Canis lupus familiaris: one gene and its partners. The protein of the gene in region 3 interacts with the protein of the main gene of each other region in a pairwise test. Links are inferred from orthologs where the notes say so. Each region holds a gene or a part of one and is shown on either strand. Other genes may lie near its edges.

Region 1 (7,269 bases), on a different chromosome or scaffold from region 3:
AAAATTCAAAAATACTCATTGACTACTTTAAAAATATGTCAATACCATATGGCTTTATGAAATAACTTCTAAAATTTATATTTTTTTTATTTAAAAAGGATCCCAAGTTTTAAATAAACTGCTAGCAATATCATTTTCCTCACTTAAAAGTGCATATCTCTGAGGGTGGGACATACATACTTTTTGAACAAATAATGATTTTTACAAATTTTTAACACAAAAAAAAATTACTTAAAATATTTTTAAGGGGCTAAGAGTTTTCACCAAAAGTCATCTTTAAATAGACTGCAGTAGATGACACTGTTCTTTTTGTTTTTTGTTTTTTTTTTATACCATCAGAATTCTCAATGAGATGCTTTGGCAGTTTTAAGACATATCGTGGTCTCTACCAAGAGATACTGACATTAACGATGTCCGTGGAGACGGCAACTGCCTTGATGGCTCAGTGTGAATAGCAACATTACTGGGCTGGTTCTCCAAATCAGAGGCAAAAGTACTCTCTTCTCTTACATCAAGAGTTTGTTCAACCGAAGCTGCCTGGGGTGGAATATCATCCACAGTTTTGTTGGCATTATTCAAGTTGTCATTAAGTGTGGAAATATTACACTCCTTGTCTAGGATGCCAAATTCATCTTCTATTGTAACTACATCTTTAGCTTCAAATGGTTCCAAGGGAGGAGGCAAAAACTCATTTTGTAGAGGGTCCTGAGGACCACTATTGTCACATTCTGTATCCTCCTTTACTTCAGAATCCTTATCACTATCACTGTCAATGGTAATTACAACTGGCGAACGTGAACCATTGTCCCCATGATGTTTCTTATGCTTCTTCTTGTGCTTCTTCTTTTTCTTTTTATGATGCCTAGTTGTATCAGTAGCTTTGCCTTCATAAACTATCTCTACACTTAGGCTCCGGGTCCTCCTTTTTCTCCTTTTGTGTTTTGTCTCTCTGTCTGATGATCGGCTGTCTGAAAAGCTGTCACTCTCATTTTTGTGGTTGCCATCCAATTTTGATGAGGACTTTTGGTAATGACTTTCCTTTACTTTAGAAGCAAACTCACGAGAAGGTTGAGCCACTTCATTAGTACCCTCCAAATGCCGTGTTTTGTATTTTCGTTTCCCTCCGGGCTTTTCATTTCTTACCCAGTCAGGCCCTGTAGATGCAGTTTTTGATCTATTACTGGACAGGCTTCTTGATCTGTGCCTTTCATAGTAGTAATACTTCCTTTCACTGTGATTATTTTTTTTCCTAGCATTTGTTCTTTCAGAAAAGGACTGAATTCTAAATTCTGGACTTGAAGATTGTCTGGAATAATGAGCTCTGGACAGAGTCCTCCTCCTATAAGATGATTCATAGCCATCCCTGTCCTTGTTTCTACTATAGTAAGTATACTCCCACTTATACCTGCTTCCATAATTATTTCTTAAATAATAACGATCTCTATTTCTGCTCCGTGATCTTCTTTTACCATGATCACTGCTACGAGATCTTGATCTGCTTGTGCTTTCACTACTGAGAGAGAGAGTCTGGCTTCTTCTTGACCAACTGCTGTCTCTGGTTCTTGATCTCTTCTTGTCTCTTCTACCTCTAGGTCTGCTACTCTCCCTGCTCCTAGACCTTTTGCTTTTCATCCTTTTCTTCCCATGATGCTTTCTACGACTCTTCTGATCATGCCCACTTCTACTCTGGGAACGAGAATCTGAACTTCTTGATCTTCCCCTCCTCCTGTGTCTACGGTTATATGGGGAATATACCCTGTCTCCTCTGATAGACGAGCTCAGGTCTCTGGGAGATGACAATGATGTAGAGTGCTTCTCTTCTTTCTTTGACTTGATTCTTTTACCAGAACCACAATGACCTTTATTTATTTGCTCATCCTTTCCAAGGACAGAGTGTGGAGATGAGCATCTACTAACATCACTATCACCAGAACTATAAGACTGTTCTTGTGTCTTCACAGTCTCCATTTTCTCATAAGAGCCTAACTCCTCAGAATCAGAGGACAGTTCAACAAGTTCTGGGGTCCTCTCAGCTAGTGGTTTAACAAACCCAACAATGACACAATTATCTGAAGAAGAATCACTGTCATTATTGAGGTCTTCATTAGTTTGTACTCCTTGTATCTGAGATGTGGCTCTTCCTGTTACAAGTTCTTCATCTGAACTATCAGAAGTATTTAAAAGGGAAGACATGGCAGCGTGTACCTGTTCTGAGCTTGAGTAAGATGGCCCTGGAGTTTCATCATCCCACGGTGCCTGACTAACAGTGGTTACATTGATATCTAACTCTTGAGTCTCAGCTTCGTCAGGAGATATTGTTATGACTGAAGAATCAGAATGGCTACCTTCTTCATATGAAGGAGCAGGGCAATCATAATTAGCATGCTGGTCAAAAGCTGCCATGTTAAAAGGAGATCGAGCAAAACTGATAAATTCATGTATAAAATGCTCAGTCCGATTAAGCAGAAATGGTCTTAAGTCAGACACAAATTCCCGACTTTCCAAGTCATAGCGAGTAACATTACTCATGATGATGTGCTGGACAATATTCACTAAAGATCCATGAGCTCCAAAAAGAACTGTAAGTTCACGTTTTAGCCAGGGGACTAATCTGTGAAGGCAAGCTGGATTTCTACGGAAAAATTCAGCTGAAATATCCCTGCAGCGACCACCATCTTCAATATTTCTAACACGGGCGCCAGCACGATAAAGAGTTCGTCTAAAATTAATAATATCCTGTTCTTGAATTTTCCGCAAAGATCTTTCATCTGCAGTAGTTGGCCTCCTTACTGCAATCTGTCTCATAAGTTGAGGAATTTCACCATTTCTAGGTCTTGTTGAAATGCCTAACCCCTCAAATAGTACTCCACTATCTGGTGGAGTTGTTGTTCTTCTACTCATAGTATTATTAGGTGAATAAACAGAAGCACTTCGATCTCTTGTCATAGTTGTACGATAGCGAAATCGTGGAACATCAGGGGTTGCAAAAGAACCGTTATATGAAGGCCTTAGGACATACTCCTTGAAGTCATCTTCTGCCCTCACAGAATGGAAAATAGAATCAAAGGGCTGTTTACATAGTGGACATTCAGCTTTGTTTTTTGACCACTCCTGTACACAGCGAAAACAGAACTTATGTAAACAGCGATCTAAGTAAGACACATTATCAAATCTATCCAAACATATAGGACACTTAGAATCAGGAGATGCATCAGCTGGTACTGTCTGTTGCAATTTGCTAGTACCAGCTTTAGGTGAAAAGTTGTCCATTTTAAATTCCTTAGCAGCTGATGCCATTATCTGTAAAAGGGAAAAAAATACATCAGTAACCAGAAAAAAAGAACAGACTAAAATCTGAAAAAAAAAAAAATTCAAATAAATGATTGTGAAACATACTTTGGTGAAAATAGCTGAGTAGCTCATTAACCTTGTAATATGAAGGGAGAGTGTAACATAGTCATATAGTACTTAAAACACAAGCTCTAAAAGTCACATATTTCCTGGGTTTGAATCCTGGTTTCACACCAGTGGTGTGACTATGTATCAGCAATAATAGAACCTGCATCACAGGGTTTATGAAGACCTTAGAAAAGGTGCCTGGTACCCAGGAAGCTCTCAAATATTATGCAGCATTCTGTTCTTTTAAAAAAGAATTTAACCAAAAAGAATTTTATATACATATAAATATATAAAGGTATATATATTTATATACTTATACACACACACACAATCTGCCAAGTACCCATGTATCCACCACTCAGATTTAGCAACATTTTTTTCATGGCTATTTCAATATTTTTTAAATATCCCTTATCTTCTCCTCCTATCCCCCTCTAGAAAATAAAAACCAAAAACACCACAGTCTTCAGCTGGTGTTATTTCTATCTATTGTTTTAGTTCTTGCATACATATCCCCTGAGCAATATAGACTACTGACTTGCTTTATTTATGTAAAATATTGAATGTATACCTTTAAACATAACTACGGTGAGATAATTTGCATACCAAAAGTTTACCTGTTTAAACCAATTCTGTAGTTTTTAGTGGAAGATTCTTTCACACAGAGAGAGTATCTTTTAGTGAGGACTAAATGAAATAATATATGTAAAGGTGTCCAAAGAATAGTTCCTGGCTCCTAGCAACTGCTGTGTAAATATTAGTTGCTGTTAGTATTATTATACTATGGTTACACTACTATATTCAATTCCTCACTGATTCCTTACATTACTAAGTCTTTGAGCTTTTTTATTTAATCCAAAGGCAGCCACAATGTTTCTTGAAATCATGCTTCCAGGGATCCCTGGGTGGCGCAGCGGTTTGGCGCCTGCCTTTGGCCCAGGGCGTGATCCTGGAGACCCAGGATCGAATCCCACGTCAGGCTCCCGGTGCATGGAGTCTGCTTCTCCCTCTGCCTATGTCTCTGCCTCTCTCTCTCCCTGTGTGACTATCATAAATAAATAAAAATTAAAAAAAAAAAAAAAAAGAAATCATGCTTCCAGTGCCCTTCCCTTGTTATTTTTTCCCCACAAGGATCACTAGAATCTTAATTAGTTTTGTTTTCTTTAAATGTATCAGTTTATGTTGACCCCCCCCTTTTTTTTTTTAAGATTTATTTGTCTGAAACAGCGCACACGGAAGCACAAGCAGGGGGAACAGCAGATGGAGAGGGAGAAGCAGGCTCCCCGATCCCCTACCAAGCAGAGAGCCTGACAGGGGGCTTGATCCCAGAATGCTGGGATCATGACCTGAGCCAAAAGCAGATGGATGTTTAACCAACTGAGCTACCTAGGTGCCTCAACCCATTAACTTGCAAATTTGCCAGAGCTGAAATTTGGTATGCATCACATTTTTGGCCTGGTTATCTTATAAATCACTCTTTAGCTGCACTCTATATTAATCATTGAGTATATATTAAAAATGTTTCTTTCGGGACGACTGGGTGGCTCAGAGGTTGAGAGTCTGCCTTTGGCCCAGGGCGTCATCCTGGCATCCCAGGATCGAGTCCCACATCAGGCTCCCTTCATGGAGCTTGCTTCTCACTGTACCTGGTCCCTGCCTCTCTCTGTGTCTCTCATGAATAAAATAAATCAAATCTTTAAAAAAAAAAAAAAAATTTTTTTCTTTAGGTTTCCTGGGCCTATTCATCTTTCTCTACCTCCTCTATCATAGAAAGTTCCATCAATGGTCAACTGCTATCAATTTAGTCTAATGGAATTATAACTTTCTAAACACTGGCCAGGGAATGGATCCCTAGGTGGCTCAGCGGTTTAGCACCTGCCTTCAGCCCAAGGTGTGATCCTGGAGTCCCGGGATCGAGTCCCACATCAGGCTCCCTGCATGGAGCCTGCTTCTCCCTCAGCCTGTGTCTCTGCCTCTCTCTCTCTCTCTCTCTCTCTCTGTGTCTCTCATGAATAAATAAATAAAATCTAAAAAAAAAAAAAAACCAAAAAACTGGCCATACCAAATTCTAACAAAAACAAACCCACAACAAAATTCATGATTGTGAAATGTAACTATTTCATCAGAAATTTCAAATTAAACTTGCTCATCTAAGGGCATCTTAACTTTCTCAGAGACATAACTTAATAGGAAATCAATTAATACTGAACAAATGTTTCTTCAGGGATCCAAATATTTCTAGTCTTTTATTTTCTAGACTAGAAATACAGAAATCACCACTGCTCTTAAACAGCATGTAATTATAATAAACTGCTTTCATTAATGTATTTAACTATATACAATAATAACTGTCATTAATATATCTAAACCTTAATAATATTTAAATTTCTCGGCATTTTCTCCTACTTCTAACATTTTTATTCTTCCTCCCAGGAAATAAAAAGCCTAAAAATAAAAATTTTTAGGATCACAGACAGAGTCTGTACATTAGGGGAAGGAATGAAGAGTGGAGAGAAACTGGATAGGTTATCAGAGAATCTGGACTGACCACGTTTCCCCTAAAACTATAAACTGGAAACATTCAATAAAATCTAGATTTTTTAGTTTGCCCTTCTATATAATAAAGAGATTATTAGACTTTTTTAAAAGACTGGTGAATTTAAAGTTAATACATTGTACCTTGATTTGTGTCATGGAAATACAAAACTGTAGTGTTTACTGAACATTTGCAGTTCACATAAAAAATACAACCCTGAATGCATTTTATTAAAGGAAATTTGTAGGTAGTAAACTTAAAATAAAACAAAATCTCAACTAAGTAGAATTTTTTTTTTTTTTTTTTAATGGAATCTTAAGGGAAGGGATCTTAGGTGGCTCAGCCAGTTAAGCATCTGCCTTTGGCCCAGGACACGTTCCCAGAATCTTGGGACTGAGCCCCAGCCCCCCATGGGGCTGCCTGCTCAGCGGGGAGTCTGCTTCTCCCTCTCCTTCTGGCCCTGCTTGTGCATGCACTCGCTCTCCAATAAATAAAATCTTAAAAACAAAAACACAACTTTTCTTCCCTTCCCTAGTTTTATAATAAGCCTGTTAACCACTTCAACAGTATAGTACAGGGCAAAAGAATGATCAGGAACATCCATAAGATATAAAAAAATAGAGTTGTATTTCTCATAGTAATATCTTTAGATATAAAAAACAGTATTCATCAGAAACATCAAACAGTGGCAATGCATATACATCATCAAATAAGAGATTTTCCTTCAAAAGCATCACTAATGCTGAAATTAACACATTTATTAATGGGGCATCTGGCTGGCTCAGCCAGTAGAGCATGTAACTCTTGATCTCAGGGTCATGAGTTCAAGCCCCTCACTGGGTGTAGAAATTACTTTAAAAAAATTTTTGCTAAAATATTTGCTGGGATACAAATGAAATAGAATTACCATATGACCCTGGAATTAAATACCCATCCAAGAAAACATACTGTCCATACCAAAACTTACATGTGAATATTCATAGCAACATTTATCATAAAAGCTCAAAAGTGGAAACAACCCTACCAACTTATGAAAAGAAAAATAAAATGTGGTATACCCATACAGTGGAATATTATCGAGCAATAAAAAAGATGAAACAGATACATGCTACAATAAGAACGGAAACTTTTCATTAGGCAAAATGGAGAAAAAAAAGTCACATAAGACCACATGTTGTATGATGCCATTTATATGAAATGTCCAGAATAGGCAAATCTATAGATGGAAATAGACTGCTGGTTGCTGGGGGAGGGAGAGAGATTACACAGTTTATTTTTGGAATGATGAAAATGTTCAATTATAGTTGCACAACTCTCTAAGTATACTAAAAACC
Region 2 (7,269 bases), on a different chromosome or scaffold from region 3:
GGGGCGCGGCAGCTCAGCCCTGCAAGGGAGGGGACCCGGGCTCCGAGCTGGCCTGGTCACCTATAAGCTGGGCACGCCGGGGCAGGTGATGGCCCCTCTGAGCCTCAGTCTCCTCATCTGTAAGGTGGGAACGATCAAGGCCCACCTCCCGTCATAGTGGGCGGGGATGGCTTGACGACAGCCAGGAGTGGTGACCCGATGGAGACAAGCACCAGAACTTGGGGACGGATTCATGCCAAACCCCTAGAGGCCACAGGCATACCCCCCGCAACACGCGTCTGGGCCCTCACGGACTGCCAGGTGCAGCGTGTGGCCACAGACCCAGCCTGGCCACGGCCTCTCTCCCTCCCCACCCCCCCAGCTCTGGGGACAGGACATGGGTGTGGTTGGCGCCTGGCAGGAGCTGCTCGGTCAGGTGCTGGGCTCAGTTTCTGGAACCTAAGACCTGAGCAGTTTCCCTTTTGGGGAGAATGGCCTATTTCCTCTTGTCCCCCCTCCACTCCGTGGCACTGTGGGGGGGACCTGGTGGTTAGGTCACGGGGACAGCCTGGCTGCACACTGGCGCCACCTGGGAAAACATCACAGGGGGTATAACGGAGACCAGGCTAACTGTTGTGTGGGAAGCAGCTCTTTGGCTTGTGCAGTGGCCGTGAGGCTGAGGCTTCCCAGGGCTGCTGCTCAGCGCGGGGGGAAAGCAGGCTCCAGATCTAGGGGGTCACAAGCACCATGGGCTTTCTGGGCCCAGGGCGCCTAAGCTAACAGCCTCCACCTTTGTAGCCAAGGCCCCGAAGAGCCCCCTGCTGCTCCCTGCCCCAAGGAGGGCTCCCCAAGCAGAGGGCTCCCCAGAAAGTCAGGTGCCCCAGGGGGCACACAGGGCCACCCAGAGCCTCACCCGTCGATGATGAGCTGGTCGTAGGGGGCTGGTTTGTCGCACACGGGGCACATCCAGGTGGGCTTCTTCTCGTTCATCTGGAGGTAGAAGACGGCATCGAAGCACTGCAGGTGGGCGCAGGTCTCCGCCCGGCAGGGCACTGACAGCCGCATCTTCACCAGCTGCGGGGAGGGGGTGGCGTCAGCGGCCCCCCGGCCCCGCACTGCTCACCCTGGAAGGCCCCACACCGCGGGCATACCCCGACTCACTGGGCAGATGAGGGAGACCCGCACGCCGGTGGTGGCGATCTCGCTGTCGGGGTCCAGACGCAGCTTCTCTTTGACTGCAGAGAAGGGGATGGCTGTCGTTAGTACAAGGGACAGAGACGTCTGTGGGGTCGGAGCCAAGAGGCAAATTTTTCTAGCACCTGCTGACGCCAGGGTAAGACGGTGCACACATGGAGCAGCCCAACATCCACCTCCCAGGAGGCTGGGATGCACATCTCGGGGCCAGAGCCAGGGCTGCGAGGGTCACCTGTGGAAGCGTCCTGGCAGCGGCTGGTTATTCCGGACAACCTGGCATGCCGACGAGGCAGGCCGTCCCAACAAGCCCACCCTGCTACACATTTCCACAGCCCCAGGCCTCTCTTGGGAAAAAGATGGGAGCCCACGGGGCCGTCCACCACAACTGTGTATCCCACACAAACGATCCCTGATTCAGCAAGAAGGGAGACGGGCCGCTTCGGAACGGTCCTGACGGCTCCGCACCACATGTGGGGCGAGGACGACCAAGGCTCCTGTCCTGAACACCCCAAACCCTGCAGGGCACGAGCGAGCCCCCAAGCACAGCTTCTTGCGTGACCAAGTCCACCCAACTAAGTAAAAGCTGACCGGCGCCTGAAGCCAGAGGCCTCATGGAAAATGCTGGCAACAACATGCAAGGCCCCCTTCTCAACTGTGAACACAGACTAGAGGAAAAACTAGAAGAAAACGCATGCAGAGCAAAACCTGGGGTGGACCCGCAAGGAGTTGCGGGGTCTCCCTCCCTCTGGACCCTTTCAGGCTCGTTCTGTCTGCGTTTGTTCTGCTCTCCGTGGGAATGGGAAACCGGCCGACAGACGCCCAGAGGACAGACTGACCGCAGACCTGCCCCTCCTTCCTCCATGCAGCCCCTCCTCCTCCCCCCACAGGGTTGGCACATCCCCACCCCACTCCCCAGCTGTCCCGAAGGCCACATCAGCCCTTCACACCTCCATGTGAGTTCCCACCTCGGGACTCGCCTCTCTGGTGAAATGCCAATGATGACACAGGCACATCAGTTTTTGAAGCAAGGCCCCCTCCCCGTGACACAGAAGGCTGGGGCTACCGGTGAGACAACTACAGGACTTCCCGCGGCAACTAGAAACCCAGTGGCCTGGCCTGAGGCTGGCTTCAGAGAGGAAACCGGACCATCGGAGTCAAGCAGGGGCCCCACATCCCATACACACTGCCCCCAACAGCACTGCGGCCCCTGCCCCTCCCAGAGTTCCACGCCCCACCTTGTGGGCCGAGGTTGAATCCTGCCTGCCCCCAGGCTAACACCTGACCCTCTGGTCAAGTCCGGCATTGTACCCACAGGGAGACGGACAGGTGGGGGGCGCTTATGAAGAAAGAGCTCTTTGAGGGAAGTGGGAGGTGCTGGGGTGGGGTACACAGGCGGGAGCCCTGCCACTTTGCGCCAAGTGTCCCCAGAGGTCAGATGGAGACCCTGCCAGGTCCCTCGGCCCAGGACTGTGAGATCTGGTCAGAAGGAGCATCACCGGAGAGGGCCAGTGACTCGCCCGAGGCCACACAGCCACCATGGACACAGACACGAGAGGAGAAACTGATCTGGTTTTGTCTGCCCGTCCTTGGTGGTTCACGTTCAGCCCTCGCTGTCCCCCCGGCCCCCTTAACACAGCCAGTCTGGTCTCCATCACCGCCCCGTACCTGCAGCAGTGAATCGGGTCTGCCCTGGCCGCCTGTGCCCCAGGCCCCCGCCTCTCAGCACCCCGGCTCACTGGGCTGGGGGACCCGCCTCTCACGGCCCTGCCTCAGGGCCTCCTCGCAGGCTCTTCTGCTGCCCAGCCCCCCTCCTCCCACACCCCCTGGGGTGACACAGGCCCACAAGCTCACCAAGCGCCTTGCACAGCTCTGGATGCTTGACCCCGATGGTTTTCAACCTCTGCAGCAGCTCTGAAGAGGTCAGCTGCCGCACCAAGTACAAGGCCACGGAGTAACTCTGGGGGCAGAGGTGGGGGAGGGGTGGTCAGGCCCAGGCAGGGCTTGTGGGAGGGCGGCAGTGGTGGTGGGGGGGACAGGCGGGCAGCACCCCCACCCCACTCACCTTGCCGTAGTTCCCCCAGGTCACGGTGATGCGGTTGGTGGCCGAGGACAGGTACATGAGGTGGGTGAGGTTGATGGGGCGGCAGGGCCTCTTGGGCTCCACTCCAGGCTTATTGGAGGGGTAGTAGCCCTGGAAGCAGACATGGGGGCTCAGGCCTCAGAAAAATGTTCCCTTGTAGGCTCTCTGCCCCATCCCGCACAGGAGGTCCCACTCACCGGGACTGAGCAGTAGCTGTGGTTGACCTTCACGGCGATGTTGGGTGGGTACTGGTCCTCCTGAGGGCCGCTGGTGTCTGAGTAGCAAATTCTGCAACAACAATGTGGACCGTGAGGCCAGCAGGGGCTCTGGACAGAGGGGCGGCCCTGAGAGGCAGATGGGTGCGGGGCCAGGGTGGAAGAGCCCATCTGGCAGGCGGATCACAGTTCTGGATGGCACAAGGGGCTCTCCGGGCTCCGGATCTGGTCTGAGCGAGCCTGTCCTGTCCACAAGCAAGGACAGAAGGCAGGAAGAGAAGAGGAGGAGGGAGGAGCCCAAGAGAAGCTGCCAGGAGGGAGAGGGGCCTGACAGGGGTGCACCCGGGGAGGACACGGGGCTACGGCCAGCAGTGGTCCAGGCCCGCCTGGGCTTACCTGAGGACGACCTGCACGGCCTTGATCCCGGGCTGCAGTTCTCTGTGTGTGCCGAGGAATCAGAGGGGAGGAGAAGAGGGGTCAGTGAGGCAGGAGAGCACTCGGCCCACCAGGCTGCTCCCTTCACCTGCTACCTTCCCTGGCAGCCGAAGGTCAATGGCTGTTGACTACAACATTCCCTCCTGTTTACTCACTGGTGAATTGGGCAAATGACCTCCTCTCTTTGTACATATGGGGGGATGTCCATGGGATATATTAAGTCAGTTGGTGGACTCAGGCCTGGCATGTGCCAAGTGGGCCAACAAATGGCTGCTCCAGTGGTGATTCCGGTCTCAGCTGGAGATCGAAGGGCCTCAGACAGCAGGACTGACAATGGCCTCTGTCCCTCAACTGTTATGGCTCAGTGTCCTCATCAGGGCGATCCTGCCCCTGCTGGACCCCAGGCAGTGCCTGGGGACAGGTGTGGTTCTCACAACAAAGGGGACTCCTACCGTCCAGTGGGGGGCGGGGTAGGGGTAGGGGGCCGGGATGCTGCTCAGCCCCTCAGGGTGCCTGGGGCACCCCACTCCAAAGAGTGACCCAGCTCCAAAACCAACAGTGCGAAGGGGAGCCCCACTGAAGGGGAGGGTACACCAGCCCACCTCTGGGGGCTGCAGGTCAAAAATGGTATGAGCACGCAGACTGAGCACAAAGCCCGGGACATATGGCAAGTGCTGAGCACAGAGGGCAGGGCTTCTGCTTCCCTCCTGCGGAGCACAGGGTCTACAGCAGGTCTACTGAAGGCTCCCTAGCCCAGCCCTCTAGATGGCCCGAGACCATGCAGTCTACTGCCTGCCATGGAGGCCAGCAGGGGTGCAGGGAGCAGCGCACCTGGAATTCCGGATCAGCTCCACTTGCCTTGGCGTCAACGCAAAGATACATGGGCTCTCTTGAAGCTTCTCATTATTCTGTGGAACTAAAGATAAACGCAGAGTCAGGGTTGCCCCTGGTCCCCGGTACAGAAGCCAGCCACATCCACTTCCATGGGCCAGTCCCTCCTTAGACTGGGAAGCTGGGAACAGGAGGTTGAGCCTCACTCAGGCAGCTGGGCCTGTGGGATGGAAGCAAGACCTCTAAGGAAGAAGTGCCTCCGATTCAGGGAACACCCCCAACCCTGGAACGGCCCTGGGAAGCAGCAGCCTTCATGGCTCTCTGGGGTTCAGGTCTCTAAGGAAGACAGAGAAGCCCTGGGCTCAGGGAAAGGAGCCTGCTGGCTCGGCAGGACACAGTGGGACAGCCTGCATGCCCTTGGGCCAGCTGCTTCACCCGGAGCCTGTAAGATGCCAGCAACAACTCTAGCCGCACCTTGTATGGCTGTTCCAGGCACCCGCGGGACAGAGGTCCTGCCTCGGTCATCCATGGCCAATAGTGGCAGAGATAGGAGTGAAACAGTGAATCTCCCAAGTGCACAAAACAAGAGTCACGGAACAGCCCAGCTCACAGTGGGAGGCATGAGGGCAGCAGGGAACACCATACAGAGCCACACCAGCCATCCCAAAGCACCCACTGGGTGCAGAAGTAGAGGAACATCTGCCAGCAGATGGAGACCATGTGGTGACAAGCTGACTCTCCACTCTTAGTTATAACTGCATCGAGAACCCCTGGGGTGATCAGAAAGTCTCTGAACTGAATGAGAGTATACAGTGCTCCAAAACTTGGGGGAAGCAGCTAACACAGTCATTAGAGGCAAAATCATAGCTTTAAACGCTTCTGTTAAAAAACACAGGAAAAGGTTTTGAATGAGTAACTTGCATTTCTTCCACAAAAAACTAAAAAAAGAAGAGCAAACTAAGAATGAAGTCATTAACAGGAAAGAAACTAAAGATAAAAATAGAAAGCAACAGAGAAAATCAAGCCAGAGTTCTTTGATAAACTAGCTAGAATGAGCAATAAAAAAAGATCGTAAACATACATACTGTCAGAAACGAAAAGGTAGACAGTAGTACAGATCCCATGGTCTTTTGGTTTAATATTGGAATGTAACAATTTTATGGCAATCAATTTGAAAACTCAGATGAAATGGACAGACTCTTCCAAAGATCCAAATGACCAAAACTAGCAACAAAAGATAAAGGAAGTTTGAGAAGCCCTTTACCAGTTAAAGAAACCGAACTCAAAATTAAATACTTTTCTGGGCAGCCCAGGTGGCTCAGCGGTTTAGCGCCACCTTCAGCCCAGGGCCTGATCCTGGAGACCCAGCCTGCTTCTCCCTCTGCCTGTCTCTCTCCCTCTCTCTCTGTGTCTCTCATGAATAAATAAAATCTTTAAAAAATAATAATAATAAATAAAAACTTTTCTGCCAAGAAAATCACAGATCCAACTGGTGAGTTCTATTAAGTTTTTATGAAACCATATAAACATTTATGAACTTTCAAAAAATAAAGAATTGCTAACTCACTTTACAAGGCTGACATGACCCTGATTCTAGAACCTGACAAAACAATATCAAGAAAGGAAAATTATAAACATTTCTCATGAACACTGTCATAAAAATTCTTTAGAAAATATCAGCAAACATCCAGGCCCTTGGGATTTAGCTCAGGAATGCAACATTGGTCTAAAACCCCTATACATCCTCTAGCATGGCTAAAACGGAAAGAGCAACAACTCCAAGTGCTGACAGGGATGCGGAACGAGCAGGATTCTCTGCTATAGGCACAACCCCTCTGGAAAACTGTATGGCAATTCCTAACAAAGTTAAACATGTACCTACCCAGTAACTCAGAAACCCCACTTTTAGGTATCTGTCCCCCATATAAATGGAAATAGGTCTACACAAACACTTGCACGAGGACGCTCATGGCAATCTTATTCCTGAAGAGACCTAAACTGGAAACTGCTGAATGCCTGCCAATGGAAAAACAGATAAACAAGCAATGGTAGGTTCACACAGTAAAATAAAACTGATGACCTAGACAAGCGCCCAGGCATATCTAAAAGTCAGGGTGCCGAACCACAGTCGGCAGATGCCCAGAAGTACCCGCTGCACGTGTGCTAGGCCACGTCCACAATGGGCACAGCTAACCCACAGTGACAGGAACCGGAATGAGGGCTGCCTCTGGGAGTGTGGGAGGCGAGGGATGGGCAGGGGGGCGAGGGGTTTTACATAACGGGTATGTTCCGTTTGCTGGTGTTTGGGTTCCTGGGGTACACTCACTTAGCAGGACTCCGTACATAAATTATACCTCAACTTAAAAATACACCTATGCTGAATAGGGGTGCCTGACTGGCTCAGTCAGGGAAGCGTACGACTCAATCCTGGGTGGGGGTTGTGAGTTCAAGCCCCACGTTGGGTGCAGAGATGACTCAAAAATAAAATCTTAAAAAACCTAACCAATGACACCGGAAAGCCGCCTGATCGCAAGA
Region 3 (7,864 bases):
TGCCTGCTAGCTCGAAGTAGGAAGTGTTCATTCCACACGAGGAACAGATTACTGAAGCCTGATGCTCATCATGCTGAAACATAACTTTCATTTTACCAGAAAATACACCCTACCGTGGATGATTCTTCGTGCCTGATCTATTAATTAACTTAACTCTGTTCTGTCAAAAGGTAAACCAATTTGTTAAATTCACCCCAGAGTTTTGGAGTTTGAAAACCAAATCAATTTGAAAAGCAAAGAGTTATGACTATCCTGTAATCTGATCACAAATGCTAAAAATGAATACTAAATATAATAAGCATAAACCATACAAAACTAAAGCAAAGCACATATTTAAATATAGACTTTAATAATCCGAGTTACCAAATTTGCTCAAAAATCTTCCTCCTTTGCCAATTAAAAACAACTGGCACCTTTAATATTTCACAACCTTGTGCTCCTTAGGTCCGTTCAGTATGTATGCTTACTCTGCTGTCTGAAATATCTAAAAGTAAACCATTCATAAAAATAAAATCACACTCTTTAATTCTAATAGAAATATTACTGAACTCTCCTGAAAAAGGTGGCAAGTTTGAAGATCAAATGATGATACCCTTCCTCACAGCATTCATGTAAAACGTGGGTTTCTTCCCATTTTCTATATACCACAAAGCTATGACGGTATATAGTGCAACTAATTTTTTCCTTATACACAAGTATTAAGCAAAATCTTTCACGGCATTATTTAAAGTGGGAACTCATCTAAAAAAGGACAGAAGGCAACTTGGGGAGATTTCTATTTAAAACATGGGCAAATTCTGCTAGTAAACAATGGGCTGTAAAGGAAGAAGAAGGGCTTAAAAAATAATATTTTTGCATTCGATAACAACCTGCCTAGACATGGTCTGAAGATTGATTCAGTCATATGCATTTATTTTATATACTTCATCAATCCCAAGTACTAATGTAAGAGTCATTCAAGACAACACGTCTTGGAAGAAATGATTTGTTTGTGTAAAGGGCATATCAATGTATGGCCCTCTTGGAAATTTACAGAGCAGATGAAAAACCACTAGAGTGCTTTATAGAGTCCCTGCTGTATATCCATGTTGTGTTTAGCTTAATAGTGTTTGTAACCAAAAGATTTTTACAATAATGAGGAACAGGTGCCTGTCACCTGACCTTTTAGGCCTAATTTGCAATCCACAACCTGTCACATGAAAAAATAATTGAAAATCTCCTTCAGATATTTCAGTCTTTGCTAATTTAATGTAGCCTTTCTTAACCATCACTCAGCATACCATAGCTCATTCAGTCACAGGTTCCTATAGCTGGCAACAGACTTCTCTGCAGAAATAAACCAATACTCACTCGTTTTGTTGTTGTTCTTGTTTAAGATGCTGGGAGACAAAAGAACTACTTTTGTAGATTATCAACCAAAGAATATATTAATTTATTACAACAACTAAACAAAAGGCATTCCTTGTGAATACTTTTACATACAAAGAACTATTATTTATTACATATTTCAGCTTGTGGGAAAATGAGGAATGCATTGATTCTGGAAATAACTATTCAGACTTTTGAAAGTTCTTTAGGTCTTCTTTCTCTATCCCTTTTTTTCCCTTTCTCTCCCTCTTGCTCTCCCCACCCCCACCCCCACACAGATTTTTAAGGCACTAGTTAGTACTTTAGGAGGGAAATCCTTATCTGTTCTTATTTCACCCATCATTTGTACTCATTATTCAGAAAGGAATACAAAATTGAACAGTGATTGTTTCTCTTGTATAATCTTGTTACATGTAGCCATACTTAAATTTAACAATGCTTTGTATTTTATGGCTACTGTTTACATATTATGTATTACATATGACTGAACAGCTCTACATTTAAAATATTGTTTCCATTAGAAAAACTATGAAGTAATAAGTGTCAAATGGAGATGAAAAATAAACATGCCTGTTACATTTATAAAATGCAGAGTCACTTAAAATGTGCACAAATAGGATACGTATTTTGCTACTGTTACGTTTTACATAGTATACACTAGGTCTAAAGTGTATTTAACAATGTGCCTAACCAAGTTAATTAAAGTACTTATGTCTGGTGACTGTGTTAAACACTTGGAGAGGTAGTGAAAGATACAGCCAGTTACTTCTGCTAACTAAAGTTGAAATTATGCACTTATTATAACCTTTTCTAACAATGTGAGAAAAACAGAGTAAATATATTAAATTTGTTTCACAACAGATGCTTAGGTTGTTAATATTTAAGATGCCTATTCATGCTATTCCTGTCTGCACATTTGTCAAAAATGTAAGCTTGAATGCTAATGTTTGCCAGCAGACTGGAGCAGCCAGTATATGAATGTACTACTGTTCCACTAAAATAATATGCAATAGAAATAAAGGACTGCTGCTAAATCATAGCATTAGTACCCCACAGCCGATTAAAGGTTTTTAGAGCAAACACCTCAAACCTTGGCTTTTTCCAGCCTTAAAGTACGGTTGTTGTTGTTGTTGTTGTTTGCTTTTGCAGCTACGTTTTACTATAGAATAAATCTTACATTCCTGACACCTCAGAAAAATCCACTTTAGATAGGGTGTAAATTTCAATAAAGTTTCAATCGCACGCGTTACTCCCTTAGTAAGTCGATTTTAGGGACTGCTGAGGACAAAACCTGACACCTACCAGTCGCCTTTCACTTGTTTCTTACCCCTCCTCTGTTCCTCTTGGAAAAGTCAGGTCTCCTGGCCTCCAAGGATGCAAGCAGGGAACCCCAGCCAGTCCGGGTAGAACGGTTCTCTCCTGAGAATAGGACGTCTTTTTTTTTTTTTTTTTTTTTAATTTTCCCTGTCTCTGATACAACCACGTAGAGTCCAAGTCTTACAACAATTGCCTGGAAATCTGGAATGCCGCGGAGAAAGTTCGCCGAGGAAGGGCGCAGAGGTCAAAGCTGCCAACCAGGGCACTTTTACGAGGCGATCCTGTGGTTGACACTAGTACGTGAGACTTGCAACGCCCCAGAGGAGGTCGGGGCCAAGATCTCCAGCAAAAGCCCTGAGATCCTCTCCTCCTTCTGGGGGGTCATCCCAAGAGTCACGCCCGGTGCATGTCCCCGGTGGGCGCGTGTGGCTCCCCGCACCTGCCACCTGCCACCTGCCTGCTTCGTCCCCCTTACGGTGGTTGCCCAAACCCACGCGCCGCCGCCCCGGGAGCCTCCGCAGGGAAGCGCCCGGAGAAGGCCGCCACGCTCGGGTCGGGACCGCAGGAGGGAGACACGGTGCGGACCCTGAGGCCGCACCTGCGATGTGTCAGCCCCGCTCAGAGGGCAGCGCCTCTTCCTGCCTTCCAGCCCTCCTTCAAACCTGCAGTCGCTCCGGGAGCCCCTGCGGGCCCACCTCACTACCTCCGGCGGGGACTCCAAGGCGGAGTGCCGCGGCTTTCAAAATCCCGGCTCCAACTTGAGCGCCCGGCGCCGAGCGTCCCCGGGATGGAGAAGTTGCCACCAACTTCCTAGGCCCCTCTCGGCCGCCGCTCCCAGGCAGCCGCGCGGGCGGGGGGCGGAGGAGGAAGGAGAAGGACCGGGGAAGGATGCTGAGCTCACTTGCGATCGGCGGGGACCGTCCCCGCTCCCCCAGCCTACTCTGCCGGGCACCTCTCTGCCAACCCAGCTCCGGGGCGCACGGAGAGGCTTCCTCTCCCTTTTCCCGTCGGCCTCCTTCGCTCTTTGCGGCTCCCCCTTTTCTCTCCGAAGAGCGGTCATACGGAGGACCTGAGGGAGTTTGTCCAGCCTGGGTCTGTCGGGCAGGTGTGTCAGGGTGCCCACACCCTGAGAGGGAATGAATGGCATCTCCGAGCCCCCCGTCCCGGGTGCTCTCCCACGCTCTCCCCGCCCGCCCCTCCGGGGTCCGGCCGCGCACGCGAGAAGGGAAGGGGCTCGGGGGACCCCGGCCGCCAGACGTCGGCGGGAGGGCACCGCGCAGCCCGGCAAGGGGCGCCGGGGGTGGGCGCCACCGAGAAGTTTGGATCGATTCCGAAAACAGAGAGACAGAGATTCGAGAGCAAGAATACGGGGCGCGGGGGGGGGGGGGGTGGAAAGGGAGGCAAAGGAGCAGCACTCACTCAGGCATGGGCGCTGGGGGCGGCGGTGGCTGTCGAGTGCGGGCCCGCGACCCGGAGCAGCTCCCCGGGCGGGCGCGCCGGCGTCGGACTTCCGAGGCGGCGGCTTCTGCCTCCTGTGCCGCCGCCGCCGGAGCTGCGGCTGCCGCGGAAGTTAATTGCAACTTGACTTCAAGTTGTCTTCTTTCCCCATCCGAAGTGGGCGTTTAAAGGGGAGAGCGAGACGAGGAGCGAGCTGGCGAGCGCGCGGGGCCGAGGGAAGGAAGGGGGAGGGAGGGGATGTTAACGGGGGGGGGGGGGGGGGGGGGGGGGGGGGGGGGGGGGGGGGGAAGGGGCCGGCGGGAGCTGCTCTCGGCTCGGCGGCCGCCGCGCCCGCAGTCTGGAGGCGCACCGGAGCGGCCGGGGCGCCCCCCGCGGGAGCCCGCAGCCCCCCGGGGCGCGCATCCAGCCGCGGCTGCTCCGGCCCCGCGCGCCGCGCCCCGGGGCTCGGCGGACCCCGCGCCGCCGCCGCTCCCGAGCTGGTGCGAGCGGGCTGGCCGGCGGGGCGGCGAGGGCCCGGCCCGCCTCCCCAGCGCCCGCCCCGGCTTCTCCCCCTGGCGGCGGAGGAGCCTCGGCGGCCGCCGGCTGCACGGAGCGCTGGAGCCCGAGCCGAGCCGAGCCCGAGCCCGAGCCGCCGCCGCCGCCGCCGCCGCCGCCGCCGCCGCCAACGCCGCGCTCGGCTCCCAGGCTCCCTCCCCGCGCGCCGGCCGGGGTGTGGGGGGCGGCGGGCCGGAGGGACGAGGGCGGGCGAGAGGCGCGCGCCGGGATTGGCGCCGAAGACCGGACCCTCAGCCGCTGGGGGTAAGTGTGGGCGCCCGGGAGTGCGCGGAGGGGTGCGCGGCGCGGTTCTCGACGCCCGCCGACCCTGCCCCCTCACCTCTCCCGGGCCCCCACCACGCGCACCCCTCCTCTTGCCGCCTGCGGCTTCCTCTTGTTGTTCGTTGTTTGGCTGAGCTTTTTTTTGGGGGGGGGGGGGAGAAGCGGGCGATTGCAGTGTGTGTGCCAGGGGAGGAGGAAGTCAGGTGAGCGGGCCCTACGCACCCCCCACCCCCAAACCCAGCCCGCGTGGGGTGTATCGCTCCCCACTAGGGGCATGTGGGCCAGTTTTTTTTTTTTTCTCTCGTTCATGTTCGGTGGAGACGATCTCTCCTTCGGGGGCCTCCTCCCCTCTCAGTCTGCACGGTCCATCGCCCTCCACCCTGGCCCCGCCCCTCTCTGCACCCCATCCAGGAGTGCTGCACCCCAACTGAGGAGCACGTGGTGGAAGGAGAAGGCGGGGTTGCTCTTGCAGACCCCAACCCCGCGCCCCTGCCCGGTTGTTTAAGCAGTAGCCTTCTGTCGGCCGCTTCTTTAAAATCCGCAGGGAAAAGACCCCTAAACTGAGGTCCAGTTTCTCCAAGAAGCTGGAAGCAAAGGAGGAGGCAAGTGATGAGACTGTAGTGACAGGGGGGCTCGCGGAGAAGAGGGGCAAGGGAGCCTTTCCAGAAGGTGAATGAAACTTCAAAAACCTCTACAACGGCAGAGTGACTTGGAGGTTCAGGACCCCAGGCTGAGGAGAAAAGGAGAACTCCATCAACTTTGCCCCTCTCATCCAGCCATCCTCCACCCCCCCCACCCCCACCCCCACCCCCACCCCCACCCCCCACCACCCCCACCCAGCTCCTAGGAAGCAAACAGGTCTTTTGTTTTGTGTTCTGTCGTCTTTGGGAAATTTGCATTGAGTATGACAACAGAAAATTACTACTGTTTACTCGAAGTTAAGGGGATTACAGAAAGGAAACATAGTCTACTTTTTTTTTCCCCCCTTCGGTGTGTGTGTAGTTGTTAGGTTCATAGCTTGAACTGCAAAACGTCAGTTTGTAACAATAAGGACTGTAGAGCCTCCTCGGTGTATTTTTAGAAGCTGCACTTTCTTGAGTTCCTTTCACACAAGGCTTGCTCTCTCATTAAGTCCCCATACATAATTGTATTTAGAGAGAAGGAAACTATGGAAGCAGGAGGGAGATTGCTAAGATCTCCATCCCGCCAGCGCAGAGCACTGTTTGCAGTGAAGTTCCTGGAAAGTGACTGTGGGCTGAGAATTCAGTTTTTCCTAAAAGCTCTGTTAGGTCCTCTTCTGTCAGATGTCTATGAATAAAGCACGCTGGGAAAATCCTCCTATTCGTGCAGTCTTATTTTATCTTTTACACAGTGGTTGATTCTACTTTCAAGTCCTGGTAACAGCACATCAACTGTGCTGTATTTTTGTGTGGTTTTTCTAAATAAAGGAGGATAGCGCTTGTATTCATGCTGCTTTCTGATATGCCACTTCTTTCCTATCAGCGGTATTGGATTCCCTGGATTGTCCATCTTTTTCAGTTGTCATTTTATGCAGAGACCATAATTCCAAAGATATAAGAATATAAAAAGTTTATGAATTAGTGTTATTTTAGAGAACTAGCCCCTGGTTTCTAAGGTGGAAGTGCCCACCTCAACTCCTGGTTCTGTAAAGCAAAACAATAAGGTATAAATGCCATGGGCAAAACAAAATACAAGTTTTCCTTCCTGGACCACTTTCTGCATCCATAGGACCCAAGAGACACAAAATCTCCTGCCTTAATTTACCAAAATGCTGAATTGCCTAACCAGTACCAATATCTCCATCTGGGAATGACATCAGGTTTGGAATGGAAAGAATAAATTCTCAGTCTTTAATTACTGCTTATTAGCAATTTCTTATAGCAGGCAGCTGATTCTCCAATTCTGAAAGGCTGAAATGAAGCTTAACAGAAATTGAAATTAAAAAAAAAAAAAAAAAAAAAAAAAAAAGAGGAGGGATTGTTCTTTTCTCCCTTACACACTCTTACACACTCATTTATTCCCCAGAGTTACCAAGTAAGTCCCCTGAATCGAAAGTGTGATATGCTCCCCTGCGTTAAACCAAGGGAACATTTTGCCCCAACCTTTTGAATTTGCTTTTTTTCCCCTAAATAGTCTTGAACAGAGAGCTCACAGGCTCTATTATAATACAGAATTATGTAATGATGCGTACAGTGCATTAAGTAACATAACTTGATAAACTCTTTTGTAAACCCTGCCTCCTGGCACATAGTAGGAATACATTAAATACTTACTGAATTAAGATGTTAATGAAATATTGTAATTGGCCACAAATTCAATAGTACTAGGGTAAGCCTTTTTTTTTTTTTTTTTTCCAGAAGAAAAAGATATTTTGCCTGAAAGTTATTAGGGTAATATATTTCTGCTTCTAGATTTTTTTTTTAACAAGTGCAAATCTGATTTAAATGGTTGAAAGACAAGTAAATCGGAGACATAGCAAATGGTCAATAATAGTAACTAGTGTCAAAAGCTGATTATTTTCCCAGGAGGATAAACCACAAATATTGCCTACTAAATAGTGTGAGAAAGATGCCAAGGAGGGATAAAACAGTATTGGCCTTCAAGGAATTTGTTTGGTGGCAAGATGACATCAAAATGTGAAAAGACAACTTAATGGATCAGTAAATGGATGGAATCAAAAGAATATGTGAGAAAATACTTTTTTTTCTCTTGTAGACCAGAGGAAATAGACACCCTGATGGATGTCTGGTTGGAATGTATTTTTGAACTTAATTTGTCCAGTCAAACCTTCAGGGGGTATCAAGGCAAGCATAGGGAGTGAGGGGGAACTCACCACTTACCTACATAAAGGCATTTTATCTACAGAATAGTTACCACAGGGTAA
Region 4 (7,910 bases), on a different chromosome or scaffold from region 3:
GACAAGGAATAGTTCTACTTGGAGGTAGGGGGAGACAGTTAGCCTCTGCTCTGCTCCTCGCAGCCACCACCACCACCACCACCACCACCACCACCACCCCAATCCTTTGTCCCATGAGGATCAGAGACAACGGGTTAAGGCAGAAAGACCCATAAAGAGGAAGATGTTTTCCCAACCCAGGACACTGGACGATGCCCCTCACCCCCTGCAGGCTTCTCCAGGCTCCCTGCCCCAGCCCTGCTCACCCGTCCAAACTCAGATGACCAGTTGACCACGATGGTGTTGGGAACAGTGGCTGAGAGTCGAGCCAGAGGTGTGATGTTGATGGGGCGGCTAGGCCTTTTGGGCTCAGCCCCATTCTTGGTAGGAGGAAGGTAACCCTAGGGAAGGGAGGGGCTGGTCAAGACATCTTGTCTCAGGTTACTCACTTCCTGGAAGGAAGACCAGCTCACTCACTGACCAGGGACATGGGGACCCATTCAGTGACTCACAAAACTGAAGCACTATCTAGGGTTGTGTGTGGGGTTCATTCCTGGGGAGAAAGGAGAGCTTATTTATTGACCAGGGAAATAGAAACCCACTCACTGAGCTCCTGAGGAGGAAGAATAGGGTTGCCCCACTACTTCTAACTTTCAGCTCTGAGGTCATCACTTCAGAGAAATCTTCCCTGAACCTTTGGGTTGAACTGATGTGCTTCCTCTGGGTTCTGACAGAACCCTTGTGCATCAACCCTATCTTAGTATCCTCTAGATTGTATCCATCACTCAATACGCTGAGTACCTACTATGTACCAGGCACTGTGCTACACACATCTCTTCATTAATACGTTTGTATTTAACATTTAAGAACTGAAAGAGGGAAGGGGTTACTGCCAGAAGAAGGGAAGAGCATTTACCGGCAGGGGGCACAGTTTCCCATTGACCTTGACAAAGAGGTTGGGGGGAAAATAATCCTCCTGGGGGCAGCTGGTCTCACAGAGACAGAATCTGGTAAGAGAAGAAAAGATGAAAGGGTGGGGGAGGTAGTCTCTTGAGTTGAAGCTGACAGAAAGGCAGGGAACCTCAGTCAGCCAGTCACAGATCTCTGTATCTGTAGCCCTCAGCACCCACAAGAGTCCCAGGGTCAGGGTGGACGTAGCACAGCAGGGCTATCTCCTAGCAGTGTCCGACATACCCTTATTTCATTCCCACCCCCAGTGGAAGCCCAGCAGGGAAGGAGGCGGGAGGATCAACTCACCTGAGCTGCACCTGGATAGTATAGTCACATTTAGCTCCTGGAAGAACCTCTCTATGACAGGGAGGAGAGGGAAACATGTCAGGATGTGGCCCCCAGAGGGCCAGGCTGAATAGACAGAGAAACAGTTACGTGTCCCAGAGATAGAGAAGAGATGCACAAGAGAATGAGAGATGACACAGGTGCAGAAGGATGGACAGGCAGGAGACGAGGACAGACGAGAAGAAAGGCAGAGAGCAGAGTCCCGGGATAACCACCCCAGGTCAGAGGTAGGAGGGTGGGAAGAGAGGTACCTGGATGTGAGAATCTGCTGCACTTGCTGGGGTGTGAGGGCAAACGTAAAGTGTGCCTCTTCAAACCGCTGGCTAGAAGTGGACGCTGAGGATACAAAGGAGCAGTTACTCCTGAGCCCATGACAGGCAGCCACAGACGCTACCCCCATCCCAGGCCACTGATCCCACAGGACTAAAGCCCAAGGCTTGGGCAAGAGGTAAGATTCAGGAAGATGGAGGAGGCAGAGCCATACCGAGGGTGGTGGGCCGGATGAGCTCCCCATAGACTTCATAGAAGGGCAATGGTTTCATGGTAACATCAGGGTGCACAGGCTGGGGCAGAGGAGGGTGCATGTCCACCTCACGCTTGGGGCCCAGCAGCGTGCCAGGGGCCAAGAGGGCAGGGGGAATGGGAGTAAGAGGGCCAGGGGAGCCGACAGGAGGGGGGCCAGGGGGCAGAGAGAGGAGGGAGAGATCAGAGGGGCCCAGGGTCTTCCGGGGAAAGCGTCGGCGATAAAGCTCCTTGATCTTCATCTGGACGCTGGGGGCACAGCTGGACTTGAGCAGGTGCAGGGCCTTGGCCAGGAGTTCGTGCTTTCGTCCACTCTTGTTCCGGCCAGCAAAGCCCAGCAGAACCTGAAGCTCAGACACCCGGAAGCTCATCACCATGTGCTGCAGAGAACAGAGACATTTGAGAATACTGCCAAAGAGGCAGTGCCTCCCCCGCCCCCCTCCCCAAGAGAAATATGCTTTGCAGCCAGTGATTACAGCCGGACAGCCAATCTGGCCAAAGGGACATCTCAGTCCCATTCAGCAGCCCTCAGGTCAACCTTACCACTGCCCCCCCCCCAGAGCCTGAGTAACCCTATCTCCCCGTGCCTGTAAGCTGGCCAGGTGGGGCAGGGTGCAGGCAGCAAGCCATCCACAGGCACACCTCCGAGTCCACTGTGGCCTCCTACTTCCAACCCTGCCTTGAGCCTAGACGCTCCTTTAAGCAGCTTATCTCCTCTCCTGCCCTTTCTCAGACTCTCAGACCCAACCCAGCCTCCTGGAAAGAGGGTAGGAGACAGGGAGAAGGAGGGGGAGAAGAGGAATCAGGCCAGACAGCCCCACAGGGAAGAAAGGGGGCAGGTGGCCAGAGGATTGTGCACCATGGCACACCCCTCCCAACACTTCAAGCCACCTCAGCTATTTTCCCCAAGCCTCTGAAGCGTCTGTGGCCAGGGTTTTCAGGTCAGGGTTCAATGCTTGTAACTTCCCCCCAAATCCTTTGTAAGCATCAACACCTTTCCCTCAGTCCTATTCTTCTAGGAGATAAGCGACCAAAACTTGGGGCAAAGGGGTTCATAGTAAATCACCCAGTCCAGGGTTACTTTCTTGTTTACCTGTTTACTCCATCTGCCAGGAACTAATATCCTGTTTCTCTCCTACATAGAGAAAATAAGTAATCCCCCCCCCCCCCATAGCCGTGGGAGAGGAGAGGGCTAAGCTGTAAGCAGGGGCCCTGGGGAGATGAGAAGGCTGGGGCGCCTTCCCAGCCTGGGGGCAGACCTGCAAGTTCTCCTGGGGCAGCTGGACCCAGGGACTAGCCCGCCAAAGACTACGGCTCCATTTCAAAAGGCAGAACAAAGCCAGGAGGCAGGGGGATGAACCCAGTGGTTTTTTTAAGGTTCTGTGAGATGTCCTCCGATAGGGGTACCCTCAAGCCTGTGTGGCAGTAGGCGGGCACCACACGCTCGCTCTCTCGCAAAAGGACACCCTCCGTGACTCCCCGGGAGCCCTGTCACGGGCGGGCTCTGCCAGCCGTCCACGAGTCGCCCCCTCCCAGGAGCCTCCCTGGCTTCGGGCCCCTTTTGAGGAATGCGGTGAAAAACTGGCCCATCTACCTTTCTCCCACCCTCATTTCCTCTGTCCGGTTTTCAGTTCTCCGTTAGCTTTGTCAAGAACGTCCCCTTTCCATCCCACAGCCTCACACTCCTGTACCTAAGCCCAAAGACCGATCCACCAGGGCAGCGGCTTCCTCGCCGCCCTCGAACCCGCAGCCCGCGCGGCCCCGCCCCCGGGATCTCCGCCGCCCGCGGTGCTCCCGAGGCTCGGAAGCCCGCGGCAGCCCCAGAGCTGCCATCCCCTCGGCGGCACCGCGCGGGCGCCTCCGCACCTCTGCCCGCGTCCCAGCCCCGCATCTGCCCCCTACTGTCGCGTCTCGCGGCCTCGGTGACTCGCCCCCCGCGCCCCCGCGGCAGCTGGGACCTCGGCCTTCCTCGGGCACCCGCCCCGACCACCGAGTCCGACCCGTACCCCCGCGTCCCCGCCCCCTGCGCCTCGGCCCCCGACAGCGGCAATTCCCCTCGGCCCCACCCCTGCATCTGCCCCGCGGCCCCGCCCCCGAGCCCGTGGCAGCCCGGTCCGCTCCCGCCGCCGCTCGGCTCCCGCTCGGGCAGCCGGTCTCCGCCACGTCTCCGCGCCCCCCGCCCCCGCCGAGCCCTCGGCACCCGGGCTCGGTCGCCTCCCAGACTCGGCGTTCCGCGGGCGCAGTCCACACGGGGCTGGGGGAGGGGGCCGGTACCTTTAACTCGCCCAGCTCCGCCATCTTGAGACATCGCCGGCGCCCGAGCCCGAGCCCGAGCCCAGGCCCAGGGACCGGCGCGCAACTCCCCACCCCGGCGCCCGCCGCAAAGGCCGCCTGCTCCGCCCCGCCCGGCCCCTGCGCCTCCCCTCCCGGCCCCGCCCGCCCGGCTCCGGACAGGCCCCGGCCTCGGCCCCTCCCTCCGCCCGACCCAGCCCCTGCGCGGCTCCGGCTGGGGTGCCAGAGCGGAGGGTCCCCGGGGGTGAGGAAGGGGAGGCGGGCCCGCAGCGCCCGAGGGAGGGCTCTGCCACGCCGGGACTGGGAGGGGGTGAGCTTTTAGAGAGCCAGAGACACTTGAAATACGGGGGGAAAGTAGCGAGAACTGCTCAATCTTAGAGAAATGGGGGAGGGGTGGCGAAGTTGGAGCAGACACCGTCATCTCCTCCTCGACGAGTTTAACCAGCTCAAGTCAAGAGTTCTACCAACTCGGGGAACGGGTGAGATCTGACCCGCTTCGGAGAAGCTGTGCAGTGGTGACGGTCAGGACGGCTGCTCTCGATTCCTCGCCCCCCACCCCCACCCCCACCCCCACCCCCACCCCCCTCCCGGCCAACCAACTACAGTGCTGCCTGGGGTCCCGCGGCAGGACTCAAACTCCGCAGCAAAAAAGTTTGGTGCGACGAGCGGGACTTACCAGCACAGCTGCGGGGAGCGGGGAGGGGGCTCGGGAGGCTCGGAGGGTGGGCCGGGGAGGTGGGGGGGCTGCAAGGCTGGAGGTCGGTCGGTCCGGCAGCTGGACGCTGCAGCGGCAGCTCCGCCCGGACGCGAGCTCCGCCCGGCCCGGCGCTGGGGCTGGGGCCGCCCCCTCCGGGTGAGCCCGCCAGGACCGCGGAGGCGGGGGCGGGGGCGGGGGCGGGGTCGGAAGCGGGGAGGGGAGGGGCTCCGAGACCCGCGCCCGGAGCTTAACTCCTTGAAAGGGTGCGTGAGCCAACGGGTGGGAAGGGAGGACGTTCTGGGGACTCAACCTGCTCACTGTTGCTCCGGCCCCTTGCGCTGCTCTGCCCGCCCGGCGCGATCATGCTGCGAGGAAGGCCGGGCCGACTGGGATTTGGCCGCCTGAAGAGGTTCCTACTTGGAACGAGACTCCTCTCCCTGGGGGAAAGCCTGGGCTGCTAGAATCTAAAGTGGACCTAAGCCCCAAGTCTCCCTGTGGTCCCTCACCCCCTACCCCAAATACTCAGACCGTCGCCGGAGACCCCACGCCTTTGGTGGGGCTGAAGGTGAACAGAGGGGAGGTTTTCTTCCCAAAACAGTCGTCTTTCTGCCCGTCTATGAATTGCCTACTTTTCTTCCAAAGCCTTTGCCCTTCCAGAGACCCCATTCTCTTTAAAATAGGGATCCCTGGGTGGCGCAGCGGCTTGGCGCCTGCCTTTGGCCCGGGGCGCAATCCTGGAGACCCAGGATCGAATCCCACGTCGGGATCCCGGTGCATGGAGCCTGCTTCTCTCTCTGCCTCTCTCTCTCTCTCTCTCTCTCTCTCTCTCTCTATATCATAAATAAAAGATAATAATAAAATATATATATTTACTTATTCATGAAAGACAGACACAGAGGGAAAAGCAGGCTTCCTGCCGGGAGCCTTATGCGAGACTAGACTCGATTCCCGGGGTCGCAGGATCATGACCTGAACTGAAGACAGATGTTCAACCACTGAGCCACCCAGGCATCCCCAGAGAGGCCATTCTCAACCAGGCTGATCACTCACATGCAGGTACCAATTCAAGCACCAAAATTAGGGCAGTTTACCCAAACTACATACTGGAAAAACTCAGCATTTTAGGTTAGTTGGCTGGGACCTAAGCCATTATGTCATTTGTTCAACAAACATTTGAATGCTGTTCAGAGATTGTTAGGTGCTGAGGAGATAAAAAGCTTTTCAGGAGCTCTTGGTCTAGCAGTGGCAGCAAGACAGTTAAACCTATAATTGGCATTAAAATAATAATAAATAACATGAATAACCCTCTCATATAGCTTAAACCTTCAGTATAATCCTTCCCATGAGACCCTACCCAAGCCACAAGAATGAAGGTACCAGCCTAGCAACCTCCTCAGATACCTGTTGAATTGGACCATGACCAACTACTTTGTGGATTTTGTCCATAGGGAAGATGTGTACCCTCTCCTGACACTCAGGTTCTTTCCCTGTTGCTATACTCCCTACTCCCAGGTAAGACCAAGCTAAACTCAAGCTCAAGTATTTGATTCTAAGTCTTAGCTGCCAGAGTGTCTAGGTGGCATAGTTGGTTAAGTCTCTGCCTTTGGTTCAGGTCAGGGTCCTGGGATCAAGCCCTGCAGTAGGCTCACTGCTCAGCAGGGCGTGTGCTTCTGCTGCTCCCCCTACTTGTTCTCTCTGTCAAATAAACAAAATCTAAAAAAAAAAAAAAAAAAATACCAACTGCCCCTTCCAACACTTGAGTTTTCATCAGGCCCAGAGCTTGTTTTTTGTTGTTGTTGTTGTTGTTGTTGTTGTTGTTGTGTTCAGTCCTCTAGGTCAAAAGTTACTATGAATTAGTTTGTATATCTCATAGAAATTTCAGTGATTTGGAGAGAAGGACGATTGAGAGGATAAAAAAAGAGAAGGGGGGATTCTTTGGGAGTGATAGATAAGTTCATTATCTTTTTATTAAAAAAAGATTTCATTTACTTATTTGAGAGAGAGAGAGCACGAGAAGGGAGCAGAGGCAGAGAGAGAGAGGGAGAAGCAGGCTCCCGGCTAAGCAGGGAGTCCATGTGGGGCTCAATCTCAGGACCCCAGGATCTTGGCTTGAGCTGAAGGAGGATGCTTAGCTGACTGAGCCACCCAGGGGCCCCAGATATGTTTGTTGTGTGATGGTTTTATGGGTATATACATATGTCAGAACTTACCAAACTGTACACTTTTAAATACATGCATTTATTGAATGTCAATTATTCTAACTCATTAAAGCTGTAAAAATGTAAAAGTAAAAAAAGAATGTCAACCTCAGCTTGAATCCTAATGGTTTTGTAAAGGAGGGCTCTTTTTTTTTTTAAGATTTTATTTATTTATTCATGAGAGACACACAGAGAGAGAGGCAGAGACATAGGCAGAGGGAGAAGCAGGCTCCTCTCAGGAAGCCCAATGCGGAACTCGATCCCAGGACCCCAGGATCACCACCTTAGCCAAAGGCAGATACTCAACCACTGAGCCACCCAGGCACCCCAAGAAGGGATCTCCTTTATTTTTTTTTTTAAGATTTTTATTCATTTACTCATGAGACACACACACACACACACACACACACACACACACACACACAGAGGCAGAGAGACAGGCAGAGGGAGAAGCAGGCTCCATGCAGGGGGCCCGACACGGGACTTGATCATGGGTCTCCAGGATCACACCCTGGACTGAAGGCGGCGCTAAACCGCTGAACCACCAGGGCTGTCCCAGGGCTCTCCTTTAATAGTTAATTTGAAGTTGTGAGTTCCAGCATCCCTACAGGATCGCTGAAAAGTAGGAACTAGGGTGCCTGAATTTGATCCTGTATTCCAGCTCAGCAAGGACAAGAATCTTTTAATCTTTTCTGTGGTGCTCACTCTCTATCCCCAGTGCCTGGCCCATAGTAGACTCATGAAATATCAGTTTAATGATTGAATGTTATCAAAGGAGGGAAACTGCAAATCAGGACCAAGTTCCAGATTGAAGGCATTCAAAGACATAGTCTGACCCCATTGTGGTGACCAAGCTTTACCTACTCCTACCCATATACTCCTACATGTGAAGCCTGAGGGACGAGGGGGGAGAGAAACAGGAGTAG

The links.
Region 1: the proteins of SATB1 (region 3) and TOPORS interact in a two-hybrid assay, tested with the Homo sapiens proteins (2 studies listed by BioGRID and IntAct). The link is inferred for Canis lupus familiaris from reciprocal best matches to the Homo sapiens genes SATB1 and TOPORS.
Region 2: the proteins of SATB1 (region 3) and PIAS4 interact in a two-hybrid assay, tested with the Homo sapiens proteins (2 studies listed by BioGRID and IntAct). The link is inferred for Canis lupus familiaris from reciprocal best matches to the Homo sapiens genes SATB1 and PIAS4.
Region 4: the proteins of SATB1 (region 3) and PIAS3 interact in a two-hybrid assay, tested with the Homo sapiens proteins (2 studies listed by BioGRID and IntAct). The link is inferred for Canis lupus familiaris from reciprocal best matches to the Homo sapiens genes SATB1 and PIAS3.

The regions. Positions count from the first base shown.
Region 1 is NC_049232.1:50,038,809-50,046,077, forward strand, and holds part of TOPORS (E3 ubiquitin-protein ligase Topors), read right to left. Parts: intron 3,301-7,269; coding exon 367-3,300; 3' UTR 1-366. UniProt on the Homo sapiens protein: Functions as an E3 ubiquitin-protein ligase and as an E3 SUMO1-protein ligase. Probable tumor suppressor involved in cell growth, cell proliferation and apoptosis that regulates p53/TP53 stability through ubiquitin-dependent degradation.
Region 2 is NC_049241.1:55,928,994-55,936,262, forward strand, and holds part of PIAS4 (E3 SUMO-protein ligase PIAS4), read right to left. Parts: intron 4,820-7,269; coding exon 4,735-4,819; intron 3,907-4,734; coding exon 3,865-3,906; intron 3,542-3,864; coding exon 3,451-3,541; intron 3,365-3,450; coding exon 3,236-3,364; intron 3,131-3,235; coding exon 3,025-3,130; intron 1,215-3,024; coding exon 1,141-1,214; intron 1,054-1,140; coding exon 893-1,053; intron 1-892.
Region 3 is NC_049244.1:25,104,219-25,112,082, reverse strand, and holds the start of SATB1 (DNA-binding protein SATB1), read right to left. Parts: upstream 4,264-7,864; 5' UTR 4,105-4,263; intron 3,824-4,104; exon of another isoform or gene 2,696-3,823; intron 1-2,695. UniProt on the Homo sapiens protein: Crucial silencing factor contributing to the initiation of X inactivation mediated by Xist RNA that occurs during embryogenesis and in lymphoma.
Region 4 is NC_049238.1:59,313,752-59,321,661, forward strand, and holds the start of PIAS3 (E3 SUMO-protein ligase PIAS3), read right to left. Parts: upstream 4,174-7,910; 5' UTR 4,096-4,173; coding exon 4,072-4,095; intron 3,527-4,071; exon of another isoform or gene 2,891-3,526; intron 2,178-2,890; coding exon 1,760-2,177; intron 1,612-1,759; coding exon 1,527-1,611; intron 1,288-1,526; coding exon 1,237-1,287; intron 987-1,236; coding exon 896-986; intron 381-895; coding exon 246-380; intron 15-245; coding exon 1-14. UniProt on the Homo sapiens protein: Functions as an E3-type small ubiquitin-like modifier (SUMO) ligase, stabilizing the interaction between UBE2I and the substrate, and as a SUMO-tethering factor.